Macaca fascicularis: one gene and its partners. The protein of the gene in region 5 purifies or fractionates together with the protein of the main gene of each other region. This does not show direct contact. Links are inferred from orthologs where the notes say so. Each region holds a gene or a part of one and is shown on either strand. Other genes may lie near its edges.

The links.
Region 1: the proteins of AMFR (region 5) and DERL2 purify together in Homo sapiens (affinity purification with western blotting; 4 studies listed by BioGRID and IntAct, with this or other methods). This does not show direct contact. The link is inferred for Macaca fascicularis from reciprocal best matches to the Homo sapiens genes AMFR and DERL2.
Region 2: the proteins of AMFR (region 5) and ERLIN1 purify together in Homo sapiens (affinity purification with mass spectrometry; 3 studies listed by BioGRID and IntAct, with this or other methods). This does not show direct contact. The link is inferred for Macaca fascicularis from reciprocal best matches to the Homo sapiens genes AMFR and ERLIN1.
Region 3: the proteins of AMFR (region 5) and TMUB1 purify together in Homo sapiens (affinity purification with mass spectrometry; 3 studies listed by BioGRID and IntAct, with this or other methods). This does not show direct contact. The link is inferred for Macaca fascicularis from reciprocal best matches to the Homo sapiens genes AMFR and TMUB1.
Region 4: the proteins of AMFR (region 5) and UBAC2 purify together in Homo sapiens (affinity purification with western blotting; 4 studies listed by BioGRID and IntAct, with this or other methods). This does not show direct contact. The link is inferred for Macaca fascicularis from reciprocal best matches to the Homo sapiens genes AMFR and UBAC2.
Region 6: the proteins of AMFR (region 5) and RNF185 purify together in Homo sapiens (affinity purification with mass spectrometry; 3 studies listed by BioGRID and IntAct, with this or other methods). This does not show direct contact. The link is inferred for Macaca fascicularis from reciprocal best matches to the Homo sapiens genes AMFR and RNF185.
Region 7: the proteins of AMFR (region 5) and INSIG1 purify together in Homo sapiens (affinity purification with western blotting; 6 studies listed by BioGRID and IntAct, with this or other methods). This does not show direct contact. The link is inferred for Macaca fascicularis from reciprocal best matches to the Homo sapiens genes AMFR and INSIG1.

Annotation. Positions count from the first base shown.
Region 1 is NC_088390.1:5,551,372-5,555,365, reverse strand, and holds the start of DERL2 (derlin-2), read left to right. Parts: upstream 1-1,194; 5' UTR 1,195-1,220; coding exon 1,221-1,313; intron 1,314-2,158; coding exon 2,159-2,224; intron 2,225-3,994.
Region 2 is NC_088383.1:109,123,676-109,127,175, reverse strand, and holds part of ERLIN1 (erlin-1), read left to right. Parts: intron 1-527; coding exon 528-574; intron 575-1,570; coding exon 1,571-1,632; intron 1,633-3,500. UniProt on the Homo sapiens protein: Component of the ERLIN1/ERLIN2 complex which mediates the endoplasmic reticulum-associated degradation (ERAD) of inositol 1,4,5-trisphosphate receptors (IP3Rs).
Region 3 is NC_088377.1:192,360,959-192,365,044, reverse strand, and holds TMUB1 (transmembrane and ubiquitin-like domain-containing protein 1), read left to right. Parts: upstream 1-1,286; 5' UTR 1,287-1,341; coding exon 1,342-1,437; intron 1,438-1,488; exon of another isoform or gene 1,489-1,589; intron 1,590-2,171; coding exon 2,172-2,590; intron 2,591-2,864; coding exon 2,865-3,216; 3' UTR 3,217-3,673; downstream 3,674-4,086. Other genes in the region: FASTK (fas-activated serine/threonine kinase), read left to right, coding at 3,993-4,074. UniProt on the Homo sapiens protein: Involved in sterol-regulated ubiquitination and degradation of HMG-CoA reductase HMGCR. Involved in positive regulation of AMPA-selective glutamate receptor GRIA2 recycling to the cell surface.
Region 4 is NC_088391.1:90,250,186-90,253,685, forward strand, and holds part of UBAC2 (ubiquitin-associated domain-containing protein 2), read left to right. Parts: intron 1-489; coding exon 490-735; intron 736-3,500. UniProt on the Homo sapiens protein: Restricts trafficking of FAF2 from the endoplasmic reticulum to lipid droplets.
Region 5 is NC_088394.1:52,429,156-52,432,443, reverse strand, and holds the end of AMFR (E3 ubiquitin-protein ligase AMFR), read left to right. Parts: intron 1-143; coding exon 144-328; intron 329-1,196; coding exon 1,197-1,344; 3' UTR 1,345-2,788; downstream 2,789-3,288. UniProt on the Homo sapiens protein: E3 ubiquitin-protein ligase that mediates the polyubiquitination of lysine and cysteine residues on target proteins, such as CD3D, CYP3A4, CFTR, INSIG1, SOAT2/ACAT2 and APOB for proteasomal degradation.
Region 6 is NC_088384.1:20,440,521-20,444,020, reverse strand, and holds part of RNF185 (E3 ubiquitin-protein ligase RNF185), read left to right. Parts: intron 1-67; coding exon 68-185; intron 186-3,025; coding exon 3,026-3,123; 3' UTR 3,124-3,500. UniProt on the Homo sapiens protein: E3 ubiquitin-protein ligase that regulates selective mitochondrial autophagy by mediating 'Lys-63'-linked polyubiquitination of BNIP1.
Region 7 is NC_088377.1:196,592,645-196,596,741, reverse strand, and holds the start of INSIG1 (insulin-induced gene 1 protein), read right to left. Parts: upstream 2,801-4,097; 5' UTR 2,638-2,800; intron 2,406-2,637; 5' UTR 2,379-2,405; coding exon 1,967-2,378; intron 1-1,966. UniProt on the Homo sapiens protein: Oxysterol-binding protein that mediates feedback control of cholesterol synthesis by controlling both endoplasmic reticulum to Golgi transport of SCAP and degradation of HMGCR.

The DNA of each region.
Region 1 (3,994 bases), on a different chromosome or scaffold from region 5:
GTTCTGGCTCTGTCACCCAGGCCGGAGTGCAGTGGCACAATCACGGATCACTGCAGCCTCAACCTCCCGGGTCCAAGCAATCCTCCCACCTCAGCCTCCCAAGTAGCCAGAACTACAGGTGCAGGCCACCATGCCTGGCTAATTTTCTTGTTGTTGTTATTTTTGTTTTTGTTTTTTGAGACAAAGTCTCACTCTCTCGCCCAGGTTGGAGTGCAGTGGTATGATGTTGGCTCACTACAACCTCGGCCTCCTAAGTTCAAGTGATCCTCTTAGCTCAGCCTCCCACGTAGCTGGGATTACAGATGTGCGCCATCGCTAACAACAAAAAATACACTTCCTTGATTAACTCCTTCCTTTTAATTCCCATCAGGACCTCTCTTCGGGCACTGGCTGATAAACTTCTACCGCCTCATCTTCTCTGCTAGACTTAAAGAGTTCCTGAAGGCAGAATAAATGTGGCTTGATCAGTATTTGCCGATTCAACGCAGAGGTGCCCAGGCCATCTTAGTGAGTTAAGCGAAGACCCGGCGATCGCGCTGGACAGGACCCAGAAGCCAGAGCGCCGGAACTTCCGGCCGGCTCCCGGCATCCGTCGGGCCCCGAGCCCGCGCTGCATGCTGGGACCTTCAGGTTGGAGCCCGCTGTAAGGCCGACCCACGGGCCGCCGCGCTCCCTCGCGATGCCGCCTAAGCCAGTCTCGCCCGTCCCCGCTTCTCCTCAGAGAAAATGCTGCCCTGCAGTACTTACCGGAGCGACCATGAGGGTCACGAATTCGAGCACACACAGGCTTCCCGCCACCTCCTTTAAACCGCCGCTGGCTTGCCAGCGACAGACGGCGCGGTTGGCTCCCCAAAATTCCGACTGATACGCGCCTCGGCGAGCGAAAGTAAACGCGGGATACTCTCGCGTTCCTGATTGGCTGGTTGGGGACACGTCAATTATGACAGAAAGGGGCCGGGCGGGAAAGTTAGCTGTGGCCGGCGGGGATTGGCAGAAGGAACCTGTACTTGGGGCGCTGGGGGGGGCGGTGGCCACGCAACTCGTGATTGGCGGATGTGCCTTCCTTAAGTCTCTACGGATTGGCGGCTGGCCGATTGCTTGGCGTTGATTGGGCAGCCGCGGGAACCCTAAAGCGGGCGCGGGGGAGGCCTTTGTCCCGCCCAGCCGCCGGGGCCTGCTGGCGGAAGGGGAAGTGAGGGGGGCAGGCGACGGTGGGGAAGATGGCGTACCAGAGCTTGCGGCTGGAGTACCTGCAGATCCCACCGGTCAGCCGCGCCTACACCACGGCCTGCGTCCTCACCACCGCCGCCGTGGTGAGCAGCTGCAGTGCCACCTTCTCATTATCTGGGCTGGATATGACTGGGTCTTCAGGAAACTGGGGTTTGGGCTTCGGGGAGGCCCAGAGGGGCTGGTCCCGGGGATGGTTGGAGACGTACAGGGATTACTCTGGGGTTCGAGTTGGCGCCGAGAATGCTTATCCAGTGACCTGAGAAGGGAGTGCTGCTTCATGGGGGGTCAGGTCAGTTTCTAAGAGATGAGGGCCGGACCTATACCGGGTTAGGGTTGCGGGAGCCTCCCACCCGAGAAATGTGTCCGAGAGCTCTGCCAATGGCCAGGTGGTACCGTGGTGACTAGTGAGAGGAAGGTCCGTTTTATGAAGAAACAGGAATGAGGAAAGCAAGGTGGAAACTGTCCAGAGGGGAGTGGCTTATAATAAAGAGGGTCTCTGGGTAACAAAGGGCTAGCTGGAGGTACCCAGCCCCAACGGTGGCAGGGTCTCGAGTCTCCGTTATTTCAAGTGAGTTTTGTTGTTTCACACGGCTGTTTCAGGTGGTGCCCATGTGGTGGGTAGATTCATAGCAGCTGTTTTTATTTGTCCTGTGTCTAAAATATCACCACCTGTCTGCCTCATTTCTTCATGTCAGCCTCAACTATTGCAACATAAACTTTTTTGTGTTAGGTATTGAGGATACAAAGAATTCTACCAATTCTAGAGAATTCTTTACCAACCTCTTCCTCTGGCCTAAGAAGAAAGGCTTAAAGAAAATCAGTAATTGACCGAGAGTTGGAAATTGCTAGACCTACTAATCCTTTGTTGTAAATGATGAAATTTTGTTTCTTGGTTGATTTGCTTTAAGAAGCTCTTTTTCTATTTCAGCAGTTGGAATTGATCACACCTTTTCAGTTGTACTTCAATCCTGAATTAATCTTTAAACACTTTCAAGTAAGTGGTTCATCACAATAGTGATTAATGCTTCAGTTTCTTCTTTTACTTACTGTTTAGTAGCAAATCCCGTTGTACACTATCCTAAAAAAGAACCCCATGGGGGACCTTTGATTATAAGTTGTCTTGTCAGGATGTAAAGCAGTGATTCTGCAGCCTGGTTGGACTTGAGAATCCCTTAGGGAACTTTGAAGAGATTCCCAAGCTCCTCAACAAGTACCAAATCAGAATTTGCAAGGGTAGGAATTAAAATCTGTGTTTCATTTTTAAAGTTCCCTGCATCGTTTTGATGTGTCCAGTTCCTGTATTCGGAAATCACTGGTTTAGACTTAATGTTGTAGTATGAGAGGAGAGTGACCAGCTAGCTGCTTAGGGGTTGTCTCTGCAGGGATGGCCTTATTTTGTCCATTCACCACCTAGGCACGCCCACCACCTTGGTGTTATCATGATGGTCCAGAAACTCAATTCTGTTAGTGCTTTTAAATTGTGATCTGTCTTCCAGTGATCAGATCATACTAACAAAATTCCAAACATCTAAAGCTATGTGGTGGTTTATTAGATTACAGTGGGAGATGGTCCTTTCCGGTGATTAAAATGTCAAAAGAGGCTGGGCGCAGTGGCTCACGCCTGTAATCCCAGCACTTTGGGAGGCTGAGGCAGGCAGATCACCTGAGGTCAGGAGTTCGAGACCAGCCTGGCCAACATGGTGAAGCCCTGTCTCTACTAAAAATACAAAAATTAGCCGGGCGTAATGACACATGCCTGTAATCCTAGCTACTGGGGAGGCTGAGGCAGGAGAATCACTTGAACCCGGGAGGCGGAGGTTGCAATGAGCCGAGATTATGCCAGCCTCTGAGACAAGAGCGAAACTCTGTCTCAAAATGCTAAAAGAAACATGGATTTTTCTGTTCCAAGATGATCTTACAGACCATAGTTGGAGTAGGGGAGAGACCCAAAAGCCAATAATTGTGCCTCTACACATGCTGTTCCCTCTGTCTCAAATGTGTTTCGTTCACTTTATACCCATTGAACTCTGGCTTGCCTTTCAAAACGCAGCTTTTGTGTAACCTTTATGTACTCATCCTCCTTTGTTTTAGAGCATCTCTCACCTTTACTTTGCAGTTATGTGTATGCTTGTCTCCTCACTAGGATGAGGACTCTAAAATCTGGGTAATTAATATGTAGAACTGAATTGTTTCAACTTTAATAGTTACCAATTCTCAAGAATTTAGTGATTTGTAAAGTAGTCTTGTCATCTCTTGTCACTGTGTTCCCACAATACTCACATGGAGCTGTAGTTCCATCCAAGTAAGTCTTGCTTCCTACTTGGCTTGCTTGGTTTTACTCTGCCTGGGGTTAAACTGTTAAACTCTTGATGACATTTGGAGTTAGGACTTTGAGATTTGCCATCAGTCTCCATCTACTCCTGCGGGTCCTTGGTCAGGACATTTAAAAGTTCAACTTTCAGCTGAGTAACTAGTGTTCAGCTAGTAGTTCAACTTTTAGCTGAATAACTAGTATCAGCTAGTTATTCAACTTTTAGTCTTTTAGTTTCCTATCTGTGAATTAACTTGCTTGTCTCACAGAATCACAACAGATAGTAGACATTTTAAAATGTTAAGCACTCTACCATTGTGAGTGGTTACTGTGGGTGTGGAGAGGTTGGGTAGGGAAGGGTGTATCAGGGTTTCCAACAAGAAAATGAGTGTTTGGCCGGGCGCGGTGGCTCACGCCTGTAATCCCAGCACTTTGGGAGGCTGAGGTGGGTGG
Region 2 (3,500 bases), on a different chromosome or scaffold from region 5:
AAACATTCGCTGTAGGCTGGGCACCGTGGCTCACTCCTGTAATCCCAGCACTTTGGGAGGCCAAGGTGGGTGGATCATTTGAGGCCAGGAGTTTGAGACCAGCCTGACCAACATGGTGAAACGTCGTCTTTACTAAAAATACAAAAATTAGCTGAGCGTGATGGTGCATGCCTGTAATTCCAGCTACTTGGGAGGCTGAGGCACAAGAATCGCTTGAACCCAGGAGGCAGAGGTTGCAGTGAGCCAAGATTATACCACTGCACTCCAGTCTGGGTGACAAAGTAAGACTCTGTCTCAAAAAAAAAAAGAAAAAAAATTGTTGTAAAATATTTTCTGTCTCAAGTCTTTCATTTCTACTAGAATACAGAAAGAAATGACTATTCTGAAAGCTAATCTTTGGGAACTGAAATTGTGATGGAACTCTGCTGTACTTACTGTCAGCAGCTCTCCAGAGATTTGCCTCTGGCACCAGTAGTTTTTTGACAATGTGTTTCTTGAATGTTGATGAGATATCTTTTCCTCCCTAGACGACACTACAAACTGATGAAGTTAAAAATGTGCCTTGTGGAACAAGGTAAGCTTTCTCTTTGCCTACCAGCCTCCCTTTAGTTCAGATGGAGTTTCTGTTCCTACACCTATGATCACTTAGACATCTCTCAAATAGGCATGATAGTGAACCCAAGGGGATTTCTGATTTGAGCATTGTTTGAGCAAAGGCCTGTCTCCAAATAGGAGCTTTTCCATCTTAAGAACCGTTAGGGTATTATTGAAAAAAACTGGAGTTTTAGAGCAAGTAGACCTAACTGTATTAGCACTGCTGCATCTGCTTTATTGACTATTTTTTAAAGACTTTATTTTTTACAGCAGTTTTAGGTTCATAGTGAAATTGAGCAAAAAGTACAGACAGTTTCTATATACCTCTTTCCCCAACAGATTCCTTTATTGACACTTTAAAGCTTAGTTTCCTCATTTATAAAAGGCAGTAAAATCGACCTTGCAGAGTTATTGTAAGGATTAGAATTACTGTATATGAAAATGCCTAACCAGTACTTGGCCCAGAATAGATGCTTAATAAAACATAGTTTAAAATTAATCATCCCACCTTCTTCTCATGTGTAGTGTTAAATGCCATCTAATTTAGAGTTTCTGATTCAGTAGGTCTGGAGTGAGGCCTGAGAATTTTCATTTCTAACTATAAAAGTTCCTGTGTGATGCTGATACTACTGGTCTGAAGACCTCACTTTGAGAATTGCTGTCCTAAAGAGGTTTAGGGAAAGAAAGGCAAGCAGGGTCCAAATTATTTCTAGGGTATAATCACTGCATTGAATTGTATCAAAAGAAGAATGTGAAGTTCAAGGTATTTTTTAAATTACTTATTTTAAATGACTATTACAAGTGTACAGAAGACATTGACACCTATAGAGGGGCAGAAATGCTATGAAAAGGGAAGTGAATTCTCTCTGTGTTTAAGTGAATAATAATATGTTTGATTATCAGCTTCTCCACAGGTCTATAACTGTATTTTATGGATTGCCTTTAGTAGTTCACACTTTTGTTTCTTTGTTTTTAGTGGTGGGGTCATGATCTATATTGACCGAATAGAAGTGGTTAATATGTTGGCTCCTTATGCAGGTATGTTACCCATCTATCTGTGGTTTTCATAGTTATAGCCAGAGGCTTTATAGCTGAGAGATTCTTTGAGGAATAGAGGGGTACTTTGAAAGTTTTATGACTTCATTGATCACTGATTAATAAATTTCTGGGGAATAGAGGCAAAAATAGGTCAGAAGTTCTGGACAGAGGTGACTTTATGCAACTGTATAACTTACTTTTCCCTGAGCTTAGTGTTTCTAAGAGCAAGATGGTCATTGGTTATTTCTAGAATAGGAAAGTAGTATTTTATCCAGTCAGGATGAGAGATAATTTCCTTAGGTGTTAGATATCTGTAACTGATAATTCCTTGGCCCACACTGATTTGCCATCAAAGAGAAGTATTTTCTAGTTGATATTTGCTGTAATTTGCAAAGCAGTGTGAAAGCCTTCAGTGTGGGGAAAGCATTTTCTTGATAAAAGATGAAAACCTACAGAAATGGGGTGGGTAGATACTGTTGTAATCAAAAACTTAATTAGAAGCTGTGAAGAAAGATATGCCGTTTTAGATGCATGCTTGTTAATAAAACTGGTATGTCTAGTATATACAGAATATTGTGTTTGGCAAGAACAATTTAAAAAGATGAAGTTAGAGCCTTTGCCTTCAGGGGTTTTAATTGTACTTGAGAAGACATAATACAGACCTAAAAAAGAATATATTGGGATGTAAGGTCATAATAAATTTCACATCACCAGTACAGGCACAAATAGTGAAAAGATTTCAGAGTAGAGAGCCAGGTGTATTACTGTCAAGTGCATTTGGATTATATTTTTCAGATATTAAGCATTTTCCTTGTCTTTTTTTTCATCTCCTTTCCTTGATCACAAATCAATGGAATGGATTTTGATTGAAAAAGGGAAGGGACTGATGATTCTTTAGCCAGAGATTAAATAGGAAACTATTAGATATAATTCATTTGGGAAATGATCAAGCAAATGATTTAGGTATTAAGTATTTATTAATGGCCTGTCCATTAATTTTTTTTCTTTTTTGAGATGGAGTCTTGCTCTGACACCCAGGCTGGAGTGCTGGAGTGCAGTGGCATGATCTCAGCTCAGTGCGACCTCTGCCTTTTGGGTTCATGCAATTCTCCTGCCTCAGCCTCCCTAGTAGCTGGGACTACAGGTGTGCGCCACCACACCAGGCTAATTTTTGTATTTTCAGTAGAGACAGGGTTTCACCATGTTGGCCAGGATGGTCTTGAACTCCTGACTCAAATGATCCACCTGCCTCCGTCTCCCAAAGTGCTGGGATTACAGGCATGAGCCGCCGCGCCCGGCTGTGATTTGAAATCCAGTTGCATCTAATATCCCACATGGGAAGGCCAGTGGAGCAAATTCTTGGATCTGAAGACAGAAGTAGAAAGCAGCATGTTTTTATAGATAGAGAACAGGTTCTGACATGGTCTAGTATGTACCTTTTGGGGCATTTCTAAAATTCTCTGGTTCTTAGTTTCCTGATATGCAAATTTAGGAGACTTCAGTGCTAATTTATGTAAATTACCTGAGATAAAGCCCAGCTCAGTTAATATTTGCTCCTTTCCCTTCTAGCCTGGTGTCTTTTTTAACAGCTTTAAAAAATTGCCTTTTAAAAAATGGTCTTTTGCAGCTGCTTTCTTCTTTTATTTCTACTGTTCCTCAGTTTGCTTAGTCTCTCTTTACCTCTTAGCTAAACTTTTGCAGTAATTGCCTTATGCTTTCCCTGCCTCTGATCTCTATGCCTCTCAGTTCATCTTCACACTGCTGGCCAAAGTGTAAATCTGACTGTCATGCCCTTGCTTGAAAACTTTGATAGTTCCTTATTACCTCCAAACTAATGTATGCTTTTTAGTATGAACTTTAAAGTTAGC
Region 3 (4,086 bases), on a different chromosome or scaffold from region 5:
CACGTTCAAGTGATTCTCCTGCCTCAGCCTCCTGAGTAGCTGGAATTACAGGCACCCTCCACCACATCCAACTAATTTTTGTATTTTTTTTTTTTTAGTAGAGATGGGCTTTTACCATGTTGGCCAGGCTGGTCTCGAACTCCTGACCTCAGTGATCCACCTACCTCGGTCTCCCAAAGTGCCAGGATTACAGACATAAGCCACCGCGCCTGGCCATAGTATATCTTTTAAAAATATGTTAGTAGAATAAATGAATGAACAGGAGGGATGGAACTAGATAGGTTAGTTCTGTATGGTATCAATCTAGACTGACATTCCTAAGGCAATATTTGGGCCACTTGCTCCCACAGTAGGCAAGAACTATGGGAAAACTAGGATAGATTATTTTAAATCAAGACTGGCCTGTAAAAACCAGGATGTGAGATCTCTGTGGCTACAGGAGCCCAGAGGGAAAAATCCACAGATATCCACAGGCCTGGGATTCAATGTCATCCACACAGTAACACACCAGGATCCGATTCCAGAGACCAGCTTTGAGCGGAGGTGAGCAAATAGCTACTGTGTGACATGTACCTTAGTTTTCACACTTTTAAATAAAACATCTAATTTCTTCCTTATGATTGACTTACGACGTATGTTTCAGAAAGGAAGAAATTAATCTTTAGAGAGATTCAATAACCCACCCAAGGTCATATAGCTGAGAAGCACAGGATAAGGGATCAGGATTTGTGCCAGGTTCCAAGGTCTATGCTTCTTCCACAGTCCTGAAAGAGCAAGGTGGAGGAGGGGACCAAGGAAAGGGGCAGCCCTGAGGATGGGTATCCCTGGCCAGCCTAGTGGGACAGCCCATGGATATTGGGCTCTGGGCTGAAGAATTAATTTTGGTGGCCAAAGTGCCTTCTGGCGTCCACTCTGACATAAGGGTAGGGGCCACCTGAGTTCCTCAGAGCCTTCCTCACTGCATCACGAACACGGGTGTTCTGACGTGCTTCAGCTGACGTCGGTGTCTGGTGTGACAGATGCTCTGGCTGTTGGCGGGGGAGGGGGCGGACCCTGCTGCCGCCCAAACCTCTAGCCGGTAGCGCAACCCCCCAAAGCCGTCCCCACCGACCCCTCCGCGATCTGCTGGAGCAGAGAACCGCGGGTGGAGCCCAGCACGTGGGTCCGCAGGGCGGAGGGCGGAGACAGAGCGGCGCCGGACTACAAGTCCCACAATGCCCCGGGCCGCGGCGGCGAGGAAGGAGGGGTGCTTCAGGTGCCTGCGACCTCCGCGCCTCCCGCCCGGAAGTGTCCGAGGGGCCGCGATGGAGCTGGGGCAGCCGGGCGGTGAGTCCCCGCGCCATGACCGCGCCCACCCCGCCGCCCAGGGCCCCGGCCGGGCCCCGCCCGCCCTGCCCTGGATCGCCGTGCCCTCCTGCGGCTCCGGGGGGCGGGAAGGTGGGAGGGGTGATGAGGGGTGGGGGTAGGGAACGTGAAGTCTCGGATTCCGGGCGGGATCTGGGGTCTGGCAGCCCGCGGGGCTTGGAGACACTTCCAGAGAAGGCGTGGAGTTGGGCCTCCGCGGAGTGGGGTTGAGGGGACCGAGCTGGGTGGGTGGTGACGCTCGGAGGCTCCAGATTGCCCAGGGGCGGAGTTTGACGTTTGCTGTGGGGGAAGCCTGGGAAGCAGTCCTGTGCCGCGGGTGGGGTTTAGGTGAACCGTAATGCGGGGGGCGGGGGGTGGGGGCACAGAGGCTCTACCCCCACCTCGGAGAAACTTTAGCAACGGAGTAGATGAGCATGGGGTGAAGTCGGTGAAGGAGTAGACACACTGGGGTGAAGTGGGCAGGAGAATAGATACGCATGGGCGTGAAGTTTGGCTGGGGTGAAGTTTAGGGGAGGCGTTGCTTAGGCCCTTACCTTGGGATAGGGTTTGGGTGAGTTGGGAGCTGGTTGAAGACCTCGAGCTCAGATGACAGAAAGTTAGGACTTGGGATTCGGCGATGGGAAGGGGCACCCGGAGGCAAGTTTGGGGCGACTGGGAGGCAAAGCAGCCCGTACCCTGGGGTGGGTGAGGGAACCCAGGCTGAGGACGGTGGGAGCGTCGCGGTGGGGTGGGGGCAGGACCCTGTGGAGGTTCCAGGGCTCCTGGTCAGAGGGCCCGCGCCTCACGGGCTCTTTGTGCCTCTCCAGCTCGGTAGCGCGGCGGGCAAGGCAGGCGCCATGACCCTGATTGAAGGGGTGGGTGATGAGGTGACCGTCCTTTTCTCGGTGCTTGCCTGCCTTCTGGTGCTGGCCCTCGCCTGGGTCTCAACGCACACCGCTGAGGGCGGGGACCCACTGCCCCAGCCGTCAGGGACCCCAACGCCATCCCAGCCCAGCGCAGCCATGGCAGCTACCGACACCATGAGAGCGGAGGTCCCAGGGGCAGAGACCCCCAGCCTGAGACACAGAGGTCAAGCTGCACAGCCAGAGCCCAGCACGGGGGTCACAGCAACACCACCAGCCCCGGACTCCCCGCAGGAGCCCCTCGTGCTACGGCTGAAATTCCTCAATGATTCAGAGCAGGTGGCCAGGGCCTGGCCCCACGACACCATTGGCTCCTTGAAAAGGTACGTAGGTCAAGAGGCAGGAGCAATGCTGAAGACAGGGGTGGGGGGAGTGGTCACAGAAGGCCCCAGGAGAGACCTAAGACCCAGCCCTCCTTTATACTGGAGGCGCTGAGCGCCCCAGATCACAACTGCACTTGTTCCCTTGGCAGTCTGCCCCTCCCAGGCCAGGGCCGGTGTGTTGTGGAGGGCAGGGGAAGGGTGGGAGTGTTGTTCCGGGGCCAGGGACTAGGATTGCCTGAGGCCTGCTCTCTTACCCAGGTCCCTCTCTCCTCAGGACCCAGTTTCCTGGCCGGGAACAGCAGGTGCGACTCATCTACCAAGGGCAGCTGCTAGGCGACGACACCCAGACCCTGGGCAGCCTTCACCTCCCTCCCAACTGCGTTCTCCACTGCCACGTGTCCACGAGGGTCGGCCCCCCAAATCCCCCCTGCCCGCCGGGGTCCGAGCCCGGCCCCTCCGGGCTGGAAATCGGCAGCCTGCTGCTGCCCCTGCTGCTCCTGCTGCTGCTGCTGCTCTGGTACTGCCAGATCCAGTACCGGCCCTTCTTTCCCCTGACCGCCACTCTGGGCCTGGCCGGCTTCACCCTGCTCCTCAGTCTCCTGGCCTTCGCCATGTACCGCCCGTAGTGCCTCCGCGGGCGTTTGGCAGCGTCGCCGGCCCCTCTGGACCTTGCTCCCCGCGCCGCAGCGGGAGCTGCTGCCTGCCCAGGCCCGTCTCTCCGGCCTGCCTCTTCCCGCTGCCCTGGAGCCCAGCCCTGCGCCGCAGAAGACTCCAGGGGCTGGCAGAGGCCCCGCCCTGCGACCACCGGGGCTCGGGGCCACCTCCCGGGGCTGCTGGCCCTCAGTCCGCACTGGGAGTGGGCTCCTCGGGGTCGGGCATCTGCTGTCGCTGCCTCGGCCCCGGGCAGAGCCCGGCCGCCCCCGGGGCCCGTCTTAGCGTTCTGCCGGAGGACCCAGCCGCCTCCAATCCCTGACAGCTCCTTGGCCTGAGTTGGGGACGCCAGGACGGTGGGAGGCAGGTGAAGGGGAGGGGCATAGGAGTTCCCCGGAACTTGTGCAGATTAAAGTAACTGTGAAGTTTTCACTCTTGCAGTGTGTCTGAGTGTGTGCGGGATGGCGGGCGGGGACTCCTCGCCCCTTGGGAGAGAAGGGCACGGACGGCGCCCTCGGCTCTGGCCCACCGCTTTCCCTTCTCCCCTGCCTTCTGCTCTGGCTTTGGCGCCGGCCTCCGTGGCCCCGCCCCCGGTGCCGCGCGCGCACTTCCCGCGGGCGGAGCTCACGGCTCCCTGGCTCGCAGTGCCTGCCGGGAGCCACGTCTCCGCTGGTCGATAGCTGTTTCGGGATTGGTGTCCGGGCGGCTATCTGGGGGCTGCTGGGAAGATGGCGGACTCGGTGGCCAGCCGATGAGGAGGCCGCGGGGGGAACCCGGCCCCCGGGCCCCGAGACCGACTGAGGGAGCGACCTGCGCAGGGCCCGGGGAGTCATGTAGGGGTGGCG
Region 4 (3,500 bases), on a different chromosome or scaffold from region 5:
ACACTATGTAAATAAAAACCAAGATTTTAGATTGTGTTTATTCTCTGATAAATTGATCGTGTGACTGGGTCAGCTGAGACATGGCAGTTGTTTTCTGCTGGTGTCTCTGCGATGGCCATCTGCCAACAAAGGTAACCACAGAGTCAGTACAGTGTGAAAGTGTTTCAATAATCAGATCTCTTACTCCTTTTTAAAAAATGAAGACAGTGTCTTGACAATCTTTTACCTGAACTTTGTATACTAAATGATTAGAATTTTGCTAGCTCTTCTAATTCAATAAAAAACAATTTTGTTTTACTGAGTAAATTCAGTTTTGTGTTGATTTGTACTGCTTAGTGTTCTGTGGTAGAGGATTTTGCTTATTGCCTAACACGCTGTGACTAAGAAGAACACTATGTGCAGTGTTTGGAGGCTGCTGATTTTTGTGTCATGTACATTTTTTAAAATGATACTACATTTAATCAATCACATTGGACGTTTTTCTTTTAGATGTCCGGTCTGTGCTACAACAGCAAAATGTTCCAGGTGCATCAGGTGCTCTGCATCCCCAGCTGGATGGCAAAATTCTTTTCTTGGACACTTGAACCCATCTTCTCTTCTTCAGAACCCACCAGCGAAGCCAGAATTGGGATGGGAGCCACGCTAGACATCCAGAGACAGCAGAGGATGGAGCTGCTGGACCGGCAGCTGATGTTCTCTCAGTTTGCACAAGGGAGGCGACAGAGACAGCAGCAGGTAAAAGTGATAATAATCACTAAAAATTTAGAAATTCTCAGTGGCCCCAGCAAATCTTTCCTCTGTGATTGCATGTGAGATAGAGACTACATTTTATTCCAGTGCCTTGCAAGCGGATTTTGACATTTCCAAAGAGAATGTAGGTCTCTGTTAGTGGCGATTCTTAGTTTTTTAAGAAGGTAAAAAATAAATTGTAGCTGAAAGATTGGTCAAACTGGACATTCTTTTTCCACCTATATTAGATAAGCATGACTTCTTAGAGAAACACCAACCTAGTTAACAAGATGTGCTATTTATCTGTTTTTATAATCTTGTAAAAGCCACAGTGTCTTCCTGTTAAAATGCTAATCATATGCCATGGAGTGAAGAACAAATGTAAAACTTCTTGATTTTCCTTAATTGAAATGAAGAGAATATGAAGGTAATAAGATTTTCAATGGAACAACCAAGGAGTAGATTTAAAAAATGCTGTGTTTTCTCAACCTTGCTATCAATAATCAGAAACTATTGCACATTTGTCTACAAATACTGCATCCAAACAATCTGATACCACACTTGTCTTCCATGGGCAGCGAAGGAAGGAGGGTTAGTGCACATCAGGCTAAAACCTCAGGCCTGATCTTTCTAGGACACTTCTGTGAGCCAGCCTACAGGGCTCCCCATTTTTCGCCTCTACCTTCTTTACCCCTGGGGTAGTTGTAAACCATACTTACCTCTGCCATCTCTCTGTCTCCCACTAGCATTAGATGCAAGAAGTAGGTCTGCAGATCTCACGATGGTTTGGAGAAGTGAAATCAGGTTTGAGGTCCTTAGAGTCTCATTGGAGATGCAGGTCCCAGAGTTTATATTGGGATGGGAGGAAGGGGGCACCTTATCAGGTGCAGAGTCTACAAGAGAAAGAGAGAAGCAGAAGTTGTTTCTTAAAGATGTGCTTGAATTTGAGTGACTCTGGAACATGCCATAAAGATGCTCATGATGTATTTAAAGCTGGAGGATGGACATCTCTGTCTTGGAGATGTGGAAGCTACATATATATGTAGGCGATGGAGTCACCTCTGTAGGGGTGAGAGCTGAGAGCCGAAAGCAAAGAACTAGTAAGTTCTGTAAGAGAAGAACTACATCCAAGGTGAACACAGGCTACAGATGAAGCCTTGTATTTAGCAGGAGGTAAATCCTACAAGGAAACAGAGAAGAGCGAAAGGTATGAGAACTCAGAATGATCAAGGTCAGAAAAACTGAGTAGTGATTGAGTATAAAGGTAGAGGCAAAGAGCTTATGAGGGGGTGTTCTGATGTTTCTGGCCTAGATAATCTTGAAGATAGAGGACTGATAGTTCCATTTCACCAATATCAAAAGAGCAGATTTGGGGGAAATATGTTGTCTGAGATACCTTGGGAGTCCTGGGAGGAGATTCTCCATTGGAGAGCTTTGAATTTGTACTCATAAGCAAACCAGAGAAGCTGCATTTCTCAGATTGGCCTCCTCAGGAAGATTTTTATACAAGGAGTTTAAGAGCGAACACTGTCAGCATACAGTCACATCGCAGGATTAAGGCTTCAGTGTGTGAATATGGGGCAGGGGCAAGGGGTGGGGGACAGTGTGTTCCATAACGCTGCAGGGTGGAAAGGGCCCAGCATCGTCTCGGTGCTGCGTGACTGTTCTGCTTGCGGACGGTGGTTATCCGGTGCATGCAGTCTCTGTGGGTGCCAGGTTGGATGCTCCATAGTGGCAGGAGATAGGTCGGTCTGGGTGAGGGGACCGCACATTCCTCTGTGCCGCCACTGTGGCCGTCCATTCGTGTGCCAGCACTGGGTTATCTGGCGATGGAGCCACGGCCATTCTGCCCACCTTCCACTTGGTGCCTTTTCGGTGGTGGATGCCCGTGGTGGGCACTACCTGCAAAACACTTGATGCTGCTGTTCCTCTAGCTGGGTCCTCCTTGTGCCCTTCCTTCCAGTCCCCTGACCGGCCAACCAGGTGATCTGCCATGCCCAGCAGATCCACACGTGTGATTGCCTCAGGCCACTTCTCTTTCCACTCAGAGTTGGTGACCAAATGTGCTGCCCGGGCTCTGCCCATAGGGGTTCCCCTGATCATTGTCTTTCAAGATCGAGCCATCATGCAGCCGTTTCCTCCAGCTGCCACTCATGTCCTGAGCCAGCCTATCCATTTGGCTGTTTTCCCCTCTGTCACTTGGTCATGAGGGGCCCAACCGCTGTGGCAGTCGGTGTTAGCTGGGAAGAGGCTGTGGTGCAGCAGAGGTGGCTGCCAGGGTGGTCTGGCATGTCTGCTTCTGCAGCTCACCCATGCCCTGCAGCCCCACTCATGCTGAGCCCAGATGCCCATGTCCATCTGGTGACGGGTTTCTGTCGGCCCGCCTGGCTTGGTAACGTGGTGGGTCTCCACTGCTGACCACATGCTCACGTTACGGCCTATGGACAGGCACTTCGTGGTGCAGCAGTAGTTTATACAAGTGGGATTCTTGGCTGCGTGCGCACACCCTCGCTCCAGGACCCTATGGACCCACATTATGGTTCTCCTTTCCTGCCTTGCCGTAAACTCCGCACGGTGTCTTTCCCCACCCCAGATACTTGGAACATCATGGGATCTACCAGCTTGCACCCAGGCCTCAGGGAATGAGACAGACCCAAATCCCTGCCCTGCTGGAGCGTGCATTCCCACCAGGCGCCTGTGAAGTGGCACGGGCCTTTATGGCTGTTTGTACTGCTGTCAGACTCCTCCACTTTCATAGGATGGTCTCACCA
Region 5 (3,288 bases):
CCTAGTTTCTGCCTCCCTGCTTGGCAGCAGCCTTCTCTTTGCATCCAGAACTGCCTTGTCTAGGGTGCGCTGTAGGTGAGGAACCTGCTTAGGAGGGAGGCCTGTGCTCACAGCTGCCTCCTTGCTTGCTGCCCCATGTCCAGACCGAGCGTGTGCCACTGGACCTCAGTCCTCGCCTGGAGGAGACGCTGGACTTTGGCGAGGTGGAAGTGGAGCCCAGTGAGGTGGAAGACTTTGAGGCTCGTGGGAGCCGCTTCTCCAAGTCTGCTGATGAGAGACAGCGCATGCTGGTGCAGCGTAAGGACGAGCTCCTCCAGCAAGCTCGCAAGTGAGTCGCTTCTCCAGCCCCGCTTGGCATAATCCAGGTCAAAAACCAGTGGCTGAAGGCCGTTGGCAGGCCCACGTCTTCTCTTTTTAAACAGATGCCAACAGTGAAAAGCCATTACATGCCAACCTAAAACTCAGATTTCAAGCCTGTCTTGAAAAATCCAGAGCATCTGGTAACACTGGCCCCTACTGGTCTACCTCTGATGCTGGTACTCTCAGTTATCTCCTGTGCCCCTTTGGCCACGCTTGCCAAGGGAGCACTTGTGTGCCAACCTATTCTAAGCCCTTTATATGAATCATTTTCACAGCTCTAAGAGGGATCTCTGTTAACCCATTCGGCCGACACAGAGCTGAAGAAGTGGAGGCCGGAGAGGTTAGCCCTGGCCTGGCCCTGGCGTCTGCCTCCCAGGTGTCCTCCCTCTTGACCACTCTGCCTTTCAGCCGAGCATTATGAACACACATGGAGCATCTGTGCGTCAAACCCCCATGGTTGGTGGCAGCTGCGGCAGGTGTATCCTGTAGATAGAGGGGGTTTTGTTCCAGCTCTTGAGGACAGGGCCAGTACTGTGTTCATCGAGTGGGTTTGGGCCCTGGCAGACCCTGTGATTGTGAGGGTTCTGTGCTGTGTCTGTGGGTAGAGGGGAAGGGCACAGAGAGACAGCACGGAGCAGCACTGAAGGGTTCCTCCCTGGTGCAGAGAGAACTAGCTCCCATCTGTTGGGGGCTGGATGTCTTGGTCATGAGGTGGTGCTGAGTGACAGCTTCATGAAGGTGCCTGGACGTGGGGAGATGTGGAATCAGCCTTCTGGCTGTGTTCCACAGCAATCCATCTCTCCCATGAGACAGAAAAAACTTCTGTTTTTTTCTAGACGTTTCTTGAACAAAAGTTCTGAAGATGATGCGGCCTCAGAGAGCTTCCTTCCCTCGGAAGGTGCGTCCTCTGACCCGGTGACCCTGCGTCGAAGGATGCTGGCTGCCGCCGCGGAACGGAGGCTTCAGAAGCAGCAGACCTCCTAGCGCTCCCTTGCCTTCCTCAGCTGCCTCCTGCGCCCTGTGCCCAACCGACCGGAGGAGGCCTGTCCCAGTTCTGCCCGCTGTGTGGAGAAGCGGGCTTGACTGCATTGCCGCTGTATAAAGCATGTGGTCTTATAGTGTTTGGACAGCTGACAAATTTAATCCTTCTTTGTAATACTTTCTATGTGACATTTCTCTTCCCCTTAGAAACACTGCAAATTTTAACTCTAGGCATGATCTCTTCTGGTGTTGACTGGACTGCTTGGGGTAGGGGATGATCAGGAGGAAGTGAGCAGTCGCCTGCCTGCAGCAGGCAACTTCAATTCCTGCCTCGTGTGTACATCCCACAAATGCAGGTGTCCTGAGCACCACATCCAGTGGGAAGAGTGTCGGGGAGACGCACAGTGTGAGCCCGCCCCCACATCATGGGGTAACATCTGTTATCAAACCGCTGTCCTTGTTGTGGAAGCACGTAGACTGTGCCAGAGGCCAGGCCCACGGGCTCAGGCACCCCTGAGCCAGCAGGGCGTCTTGGAAAAATAACTCTTGGTTCAATACCTGGAGCAGAGGAGGGGAAACCCCAGGGCTGCAGGGTGTGACAAAATCACCCCTTTCTGTCCCACTGTATCTGGGACTTTCTGATCCCCCAGTCCAAAGCCGGCTTGATTTCCGCGAACTCTGGTGCTCCTGCATCTCATGAGTGTGCCCCATGGGTTCCCTCCCCTCTCAGCATTTCCTTGTCCCCTCTGGACCTGCGGAGTGGTTAAGCAGCAAGCTTTGGTTTATGGTTTTCATTCACTGGTCAAGTACATTAGGCAATGCTAAAGCCTGTGAGTTTGGTCCTTGAACAAGATGTGGGCCTTGCAAGATGGGAGAGTAAACCTCGAAGGGCTTTATTAAAGAAATAAAAGAGAACTTTTGTATCTTTCATCCTGGGAGCACTGCGTTTTCCTAGCTGTGTTCTTCCTGGTTTAATTCAGCAGAGAAGGTAAGGTGTGAACCTACATGCCTTGGAGCAGGCCCAGGTCCCAAATCTCTTCAAATTCTTCACATGTTTAACTTTAAGGATTTGAACCGTGCAGTCTTAGGTTGCAGACTTCAGTTTTATGCCCCACTGGATTACTTTTTTTTTTTTTGAACTGTTTGAAAGCTTTGTTTTGTGGTAGTCCTTTTGGGAAGAATCCAGTATTATCTACAATTATTGGCAAAGTTTAAATGTATTTTACATAACTGAAAGTTTTTAGAATGTTGAAAAGTAATTGAAAAACGTGATAGGTAAATTTTTAGGCAAAGATAATTTATTTCAATAAATCTTTCAAAAGCCTTACCTTGAAATGCTGTTAGTAAATTTCTGTGATTTTTTTAAAAAAAAATTTTGTTTTGCTGAGAGCATAGCTATTTGTTTTTATTGTAAAACAACAGTAATAATAATAAAAAGCAAACTCTACTGATGTGTGTGGCTGGAAGCTAAGGCATCTCTTTCCAGAGGTGCCAACGTTAAACCCCATTTTGATTTGGATTTTGTGTGTACTATTTTGGTTGGAGGGTTTTTCCCATGTTTTTGAATTGGGAACTTTTATTTTTCCTAGTAGTATATGTGGAGGAGGCAGAACTGCATTTTTCTTCCCCTTGTATTTATATCATTTTTTTTCAGGTAAGTGGGTAACAGAAGATTATTTTACTCTCCTCGAATTACGTTATGCTTTACACATTGCACCCACTATAGGTGCCACTAATTCCACATATTCACATGTTTCTGATGTGTGAGAAGACAAAATTATTTGGATCAATTTTAGAGGGTCTTGACACATTACAAAACAGCCAAACCACAGTGTTTAGAGCAGGGGCTTATTAAGTAGCTTAAAATGATCCAAGAAGTGAAGTCCTCAGTCTGTCCTCCATTTTACACCTGGATACTTAAGGATTTCACCACTTCCTGGGGGCATC
Region 6 (3,500 bases), on a different chromosome or scaffold from region 5:
GAGTTTTAACAGGCACAGGAGAAACCTGCCCAATTCTCCTGCCCTTAATTGCCTTTCTTCCACACAGGGATTTCAAGGATTTGGATTTGGAGATGGTGGCTTCCAGATGTCTTTTGGAATTGGGGCATTTCCCTTTGGGATATTTGCCACAGCATTTAATATAAACGATGGGCGGCCTCCTCCAGGTAAGAGCCTATTTCCTTGAGAAATTAGGAAGATATCTTAGTAATATTGCTTGAAAGCTCCTTGGAATTCAGCAGTATATAAGTTACAGATAATTGTCACTACATGGATAATCAGCCTTTTCAAAATGTCTTAAGCTGTTTTCAGATCACTTATAGACACGGTAACAATGTTGAGCCCTTACCAACTATTAGGCATATATATAGCACTTTCCATTCCAAGCTCAGGGGATCATCACAACCACCCTATGGAACAAGTGTGTGATTAGCTCTGTTTAACAGGTCAGAAAATGCTCAGTAATGTTACCAAGACATACCCCATGTCTATAAAATGAAAAACTACAAGTGGTACTCAGCTAAGGAAAAGCCTAGTTCTGCACATTTACTCCCCACTTTGACCATCTGGGGACATGGAAATGTGCGATGACTCATCAGGAGTGAGGGCATATCCATTCTCTGGCATCTCTGTCCAGCTTCCTTCAGGACACAACATGAGGCTGGTCACAAGCAGCCTCAGCCCTGTGGGAACCATGCCTAGGTCCACCAACTGCTGCTGCATTTCTCCCTCCTACTGCTTGAAAGTGCCATCTGCATTCAGTATAGAGCGAGGCAATGAGGTGGGTGCCCTGAACTCTATCACAGTCTGACACCCGAGCCAAAATCCTTACTGTGGAGCCTGCAGAGATGCCATGATCGGTTGAGCTCTGCCTGCACTCGGAGCTTCATGTACACTGGACACAGCATATGGTACAGAAGTGACCATTGTGTGGTTCACGCCAAGAGCTTATGCCCTAAAGACAGTAATTGGGTCATCCCAGTTATTCTCATCCCCACCCTGGTCCTTGGTACACAGCAGGTGATCTGTAAGTCTTTCTTGACTGTCTGCCTGCCTGTCTTCGTGAATCCATTAGAGCATCCAACTGAGGAATCTCAGCACCAAGATATCTAGGGAATGCCCTTTCTTACCTTATCTGCCTTGAAGGTTTATCCTCTGTTCACATTTTTTTTTCAGAGGAAGGATACCCCAAAAGATAGGGAGTACTCTGCCCTGAAGAAAGGGCATATCCCTGTGAAGCCAACAAGAACCTGCCTGATAGCTTGCATGCTTCTAACCTGGTCCAAGGCTAACCTTGGATTCCCCAGCTAAGTAGAGTTCCACAGCCAGGCTAGACTCTGGATCACTTTTTTCTCCTGCCACAGTCACAGTTTTCCCTTGTCATGCTTGGTACAATTTGACCATCCTGGATACAGATTATTTTATCCTCCTTCCCCCAAAGTCAGGACAGGGAGCTCTAAATGGTAGCTTTTCTCAAAGCAGAGAGGAGTGGAGACTTAGGTTCTCACCCCAGTTCGTCTGCCACTAACTTGAAAGACAAGTCATTTTGCCTGTCTGGATACTAGTTCTCTTCTGGAAAAGGAAGGCAATCCCTGTGAGCAATCCCTGTGGGGCCCTTGAGAGGCAGTGTGTGGAGAGACTGCAGAGCTCTGCCACTGACTTCTGAGCCTTTCGATGTTGAACAGGTCACCTCAAACCTATGTTTCAGCTGCTTCCTATTCAAAATGGAAATAATAATATCCACCAAATAATAACATGTACAAAACACTTAGCAGATAGAATATACTTAACAAACAGTAGGCTTGCTTTCATTATTTCCTGCAAGAGTTTTCTGTTAATCAGCTGGTTTATTTGCATGTGCAGGCCAAACCTTTTATGATAAATTGAACCATGTCTTGTCCTTATTGTTATTGTTGCACATAGTTTCATTTTGCCTGATATTATTTGGGGTTTAGAAATTTTTTTTGGCTGGGCACAGTGGCTCACACCTGTAATCCCAACACTTTGGGAGGCTGAGGCAGGCGGATCACCTGAGGTCAGGAGTTCAAGACCGGCCTGGCTAACATGGTGAAACCCTGTTTCTACTAAAAATTAAAAAAAAAAAAAAAAAAAAAAATTAGCTGGGTGTGGTGGCATGCACCTGTAATCCCAGCTACTCAGGAGGCTGAGGCAAGAGAATGGCTTGAACCCAGGAGGCAGAGGTTGCAGTGAGCCGAGATTGCGCCATTGCACTCCAGTTTGGGCAACAAGAGCAAAACTCCATCTCAAAAAGAAAAAAAAAGGCTGGGCACAATGGCTCATGCCTATAATCCCAGCACTTTTGGTGGCAGAGGCGGGCGGATCACAAGGTCAAGAGTTCAAGACCAGCCTGACCAACATGGTGAAACCCCGTCTCTACTAAAAATACGAAAATGAGCCAGGCATGGTAGCGCATGCCTGTAATCCGAGCTACTTAGGAGACTGAGGCAGGAAAATCGCTTGAACCTGGGAAGTGGAGGTTGCAGTGAGCTGACATCGTGCCACTGCACTCCAGCCTGGATGACAGGTCAAGACTCCGTTTCAAAAAAAAAAAAAAGAGGCCGGGCGCGGTGGCTCAAGCCTGTAATCCCAGCACTTTGGGAGGCTGAGGCGGGCGGATCACAAGGTCAGGAGATCGAGACCACAGTGAAACCCCGTCTCTACTAAAAATACAAAAAATTAACCGGGCGCGGTGGCGGGCGCCTGTAGTCCTAGCTACTCAGGAGGCTGAGGCAGGAGAATGGCGTGAACCCAGGAGGCGGAGCTTGCAGTGAGCCGAGATCGCGCCACTGCACTCCAGCCTGGGCAACAGCGTGAGACTCCGTCTCAAAAAAAAAAAAAAAAAAAAAAAAAAAAAGAAATCTTTTGTGTGTAGGATTCTGATGTTGTAAAGACATAAAAGATTAATGCTGTCAACTTCTGGCCTGAGTGGGTAGTGTGCATAGCTGCAGTGTTCTGACAGCCTGTTTTCTCCCTCCTGTCTCTCCAGCTGTCCCTGGCACACCCCAGTATGTGGATGAGCAGTTCCTGTCACGCCTCTTCCTATTTGTGGCCCTGGTGATCATGTTCTGGCTCCTGATCGCCTAATTCTGGGCTCCTGCCTACATCCGTGGCAGGGCTCTGGACTGGTGATGTGCCACCCCAACTCCTGGTATTTGGCTTCCTGGCTAATCTTGACTCCTGGAATCAGTGGGATCAGTAACACATCAAGGAGTCTTGTTTCTCCATCAGAGCTTTGGAACTCAAGACCAGTTGGCGATGACCCCTGAGTATTGCCACTGCTGTAAACACCCTATAACCTCAGGCCTTGGCATTGAGTCCTCTCTCATGGGTGACACCATGAAATCTTGTTTCAACCAGTTGAGCAGGTCCTGACTCTGTAGAGGGAAGAGGCAGAAAGAGAGAAACTGTCAGAGTATAATTTCAACTGAGTTTAATATTACAAAAACAAAAGGATGCACCAA
Region 7 (4,097 bases), on a different chromosome or scaffold from region 5:
TGGCAAAAATGAAGGCAGGAATGAATGTTTGTGGGGGGGAGTGGGGTGCTGGCCTGCGGGGTTGGATGCTGAGACACAAGGGTCACTGGGTCCCAGGGCTCTTGAGAACCCTGCAATTGTTTCACCTTGGTCTAGTATGAAAGAAATACACATTTTAGGTTCAACTGAGAAACAGGAAACACAGTTTTCATCAAACATTCAGAAAAAAAAGTTCAGTTTTCAATTTATTAATCATGTTCTAATTTTGGAGTTTTGAAAAACAGACCCCCCCCCAAATTAACTTTACTTCACTATAGCTTAATTTTGCCTTTTAAGGTTAAAAACTAAATAGGTAAAAAACATACTATGATATTTTACTTATGCTCTTGGCTGATGGTTTAAAAAAAAAAGGTAGAGTATGAGAGTATGAGAAATTGTCCAGATATTCCTAGAAACCCTTGAGGCTTCAATTACAAATACTGAAGGCTAAACTATTTCATTTCTAAGATCAAGTTTTTGGTTAAAGGAAAGAAACTATTCTGCCAAATGTATATGAAATATGGAATTTTAAATCTAGATATATGTCTCAAAAATTTTTCAATTAGTACAGCCACATAAAGTGTTTCAAAAAACAAAAGAGGTTCCCCTCCCTCCGAGAACAAAGATGAAAACATTCTACCCACTACTTAATAATTACAGACATATGTCCTAGTTCTTGAACACACAGCCCTCTGTTAATCTGTTACAAAACTCTGCTGCTTGCTGTTTGCAGTGAGTCAACTGAGGCAATGTGTTTCCACAGTGCAGGAGACACACCTACAGAGGCAGCGGGAGCTGTTAGCATGGATGGCTTGGCCCCTTTCTACCTGCGCACGCTTGGATGTGACTTCACCTGTGATTCGGTTTCCACATCTATAAATGAAGCTACACATGGTATTGCTGTAAGGAATGAACACAGCAAAGCATCTGAAGCCTATGGTCAGCAGTCGGCTGACAAATGTCAGCCACAAAGCAAACAGGATGCCCCCTGCACTGCACTGGAGTCACTTACTCATTTGTTTTCCCCACCAGACTGTAAGCTGCTTAAGGATAGGGGCTTGTGGTGCTACTTTTGGATTAACATTTCAACAGCTTGTAGAGTTGAGGTTGTAGAAAGCACCTGACAAAACCTCGTTAAAGAAACAAATGCTGTGTGACTACAGCAGCAGTAAGGGATTTGCTGGGCCAAGATCAACTCAACATTTCTATAAAAGAGGTTCAATGATAGCCAAGAAATTCTAGTAAAGACACTCAGCAGTCCCCCTGTCCACAGTTCAGACTGACCTAGTGTTACACTGTAAGGCATCTATGCTACTGCCTGGGTGTACGAAAATCTAAACGTCGTAAGGGGGTTACTCTTTTCCTTAAGAACGTAATCTACAGAGCGCTAACAGTTCAGGGAGTAAACGTTTTGGCTTCCGACCACGGTTTACTCAGCGACCCGGCAAAAGGAAGTACTGAGAAGTTGCTCCCCTGGCAACCGCCTCCTGAACACATGTGACGGGTTTGTTTTCAGTTATCCAGCAGGGTAGCATGTTTGCTGCCGCGACCAATGGCCTTTCAGTCCCGCTGCTCACCAGTTCCCCAGGCGGCCAATCCGGGGCGGCTGGCGCGGGATGACAGCTGGGGCTGTACCCGGACGCCAGGAGGGAAGGGCCCTCAGTCAGCTTGGCACAGCACCTGCTTGAACAGCCAATTATCTCCCTGCCTCATCTCCATCACTGTGCTTCCTCAAACTTCAGAGAGCTGTGGCCCGAACCCGCCCTGGGGGGTGCCAGGTCCTCTCTACCCCTCCTTCATTTCTCTAAATCCCCAAACTGGAGATGCACACTTTCAATCTGTGGACAGTTCTAGTTTCAAATGCATGTTTCTCAATAGGCTGAAAAGTACTTTCAACCGAAAAGACACCCTTTTTACTTCCAGAAGAACCGCGGGGGGGGGTACTCACCAGCTGCTGTCCCGCAGCAGGGAGGGACCCACCAGGCGGAGGAAAAGATGGTAGCGATCACCTCCTCGGGGAAGAGAGTGACATTCCTCTGGATCTGCAGCAGGTTGAGCACCAGGGCTAGGACCACCCCAACCGAGAAGAGCACGAGGCTCCTCTGCACCAGGCGATGATGCCAGGTGTTGGGGTAGGGGCCGCCGGGCTCCGGGCTGCTCATCGCAGCACTGCGGCCCCCGGGCGCGGGGTCAGCGTCCGGGGCACCATGGGCCGCCAGCAGGGAGGGCCCGGACACGGAAGCGCTGATCATCTCCCCAACCTTGGCTGCCAGCCCCGCGGCGCTGGCTCGCGGGGGGCCTCGGCGCCTCACGCTGTGCGCACAGGAGCAACTCCAGAAGTGGTCGTGCAATCTGGGCATCGGTCACCCGCGTCCGAGAGGCGCTTCCTGGAAGAAGGGGGTCATCAAGTTCACTCAGAAGAGACAAAGAGCGAGGAAGGCCCCGCGGGACGCGAACCCCGGCACCGGGGCCAGGCGGCAGCGCAGCCCCCACCAGGTTAGAACCCGGTGCACTCGCCCAGGGCCAGCGGCGGACGGGACCCGCGCTCACATCAAGCAGCACCCCCGGCCCCAGCGGGACCAGCGTCCCAGAGACCCAACGGGGCCCGCGCCCGCCTACCTCCGGGGAGGACCGGCTGCAGCGCGACCAAACCCCGCCCGCGACCCCTGCCCCAGCCCGCCGCGTACCTGGCCGAGAGGCGCCAGCCCTCGGGCTCTGCGAGCGGAGGCGGGGCTGTGGGGAAGGAGGAGTCGCGGCCCGGGACGGCCCCAAGTGCGGCCGCGGCGCCTGGCGGGCACGCGGGCTTATATGGCGGGCCGCGGGGCCCGCATCACGTGACCCTGCCCGGCCTACCCACCGCCCGCGCGCACCGCCTAGGGGCGTGGCCTGAGCTCGCCCCGCCCCGCCCGCGCGCCCGTCCACAAGCGGTCTGGTGAGGCGGCGGCAACCAATGGGAGGCGGGCGGCCCATATGACGTGCGCACACGCCACCGCCGGCCCGCGCGCGCTCGGGCGGGAGCCGCGGCACGGACGGCGGGGCGCGTGGCGGCTGCGGGGCACGCGGGCCCGAGCGGGACGGGCCAGCTGCGAGGGGACGGCCGCGGAGTTGGGGCCTGGGAGGGGACGGTCTGGCCGGGAGGAGGCGGAGGGAGGACAGGGTGGGGTTGCGGGCCCGGCGCCGCCCCTCCCGGCTCCTGGCTCCCCTCGCCTGGTGTCCCGCGCCTGACCCGGAGGCGACGGGTCTCGAACGCGCAGGCCTCCCTGGCGGAGCGCGGGCTCTGGCGCGGGGCCGGACCCTGCTCAGAGCAATGGCGGGCTTGCATCGGTGGGTCATTTCCTCGGGCCCCTAGTGGCCTTTGCTCACGCCAGGAGAGCAAACCACCCGCACAGCCCAGAAGCAGATAAAATCGAGACCACAGTCCCCAAAGGATCGCGCCTCCATCCTGTTTGCCCCTCGGGTCGCCGTCTAAGGGCGGGCCCGTGCCCGCTCAGAGCCTACATCCGAGTCGTATAAAGCGCTGACAGCGGAGAAAGCAACGGCTTTGCTCCGTGCAGATGAGCAGGGGCTAAGGGAGGACGCTGTGCTCTCTCTCAGTAGCCGCGCTCGGCCCGGGGGCCCTGCAGTCTTGGAAACGTGAGTCAGGCCTGCAGCGTGGCGAGGAAACGCCGCTGATGTGGCATCCTCAGCCTGGGGTTGTGGCTCTAAGCCAGAAGGTTAAAAAAAAGACGTTTTCTTGAGCTGGGACTGCCCTGAGTCCCTTTAGGGGCGAAATTCTGAGCATCCGATTGCGTTTCCTGAGGATGACACGCGTGGTGGGCGTGGACGGCCTGCAGGGGTCCGTCCTCAGCGGTTCCTCTGCAGGGCAGTCTCGTCCTCAGGGGTCTCATCCTCAAGGGTCTCGTCCTCAGCGGTCCCTCTGCGGGGCAGAGTCTCGCTGTCACCTTCCCAGCTGACTCCTCTCAAGCCCTGTTAACCATTGTACATATTCCCAAGGACTCCAAGCAGGTTGGACTTCAGGGAACATTGCAGTTTGGGTCTTGGCCATTGTTTACCCTCCACCTTGCATTAAGTGCTTGAGG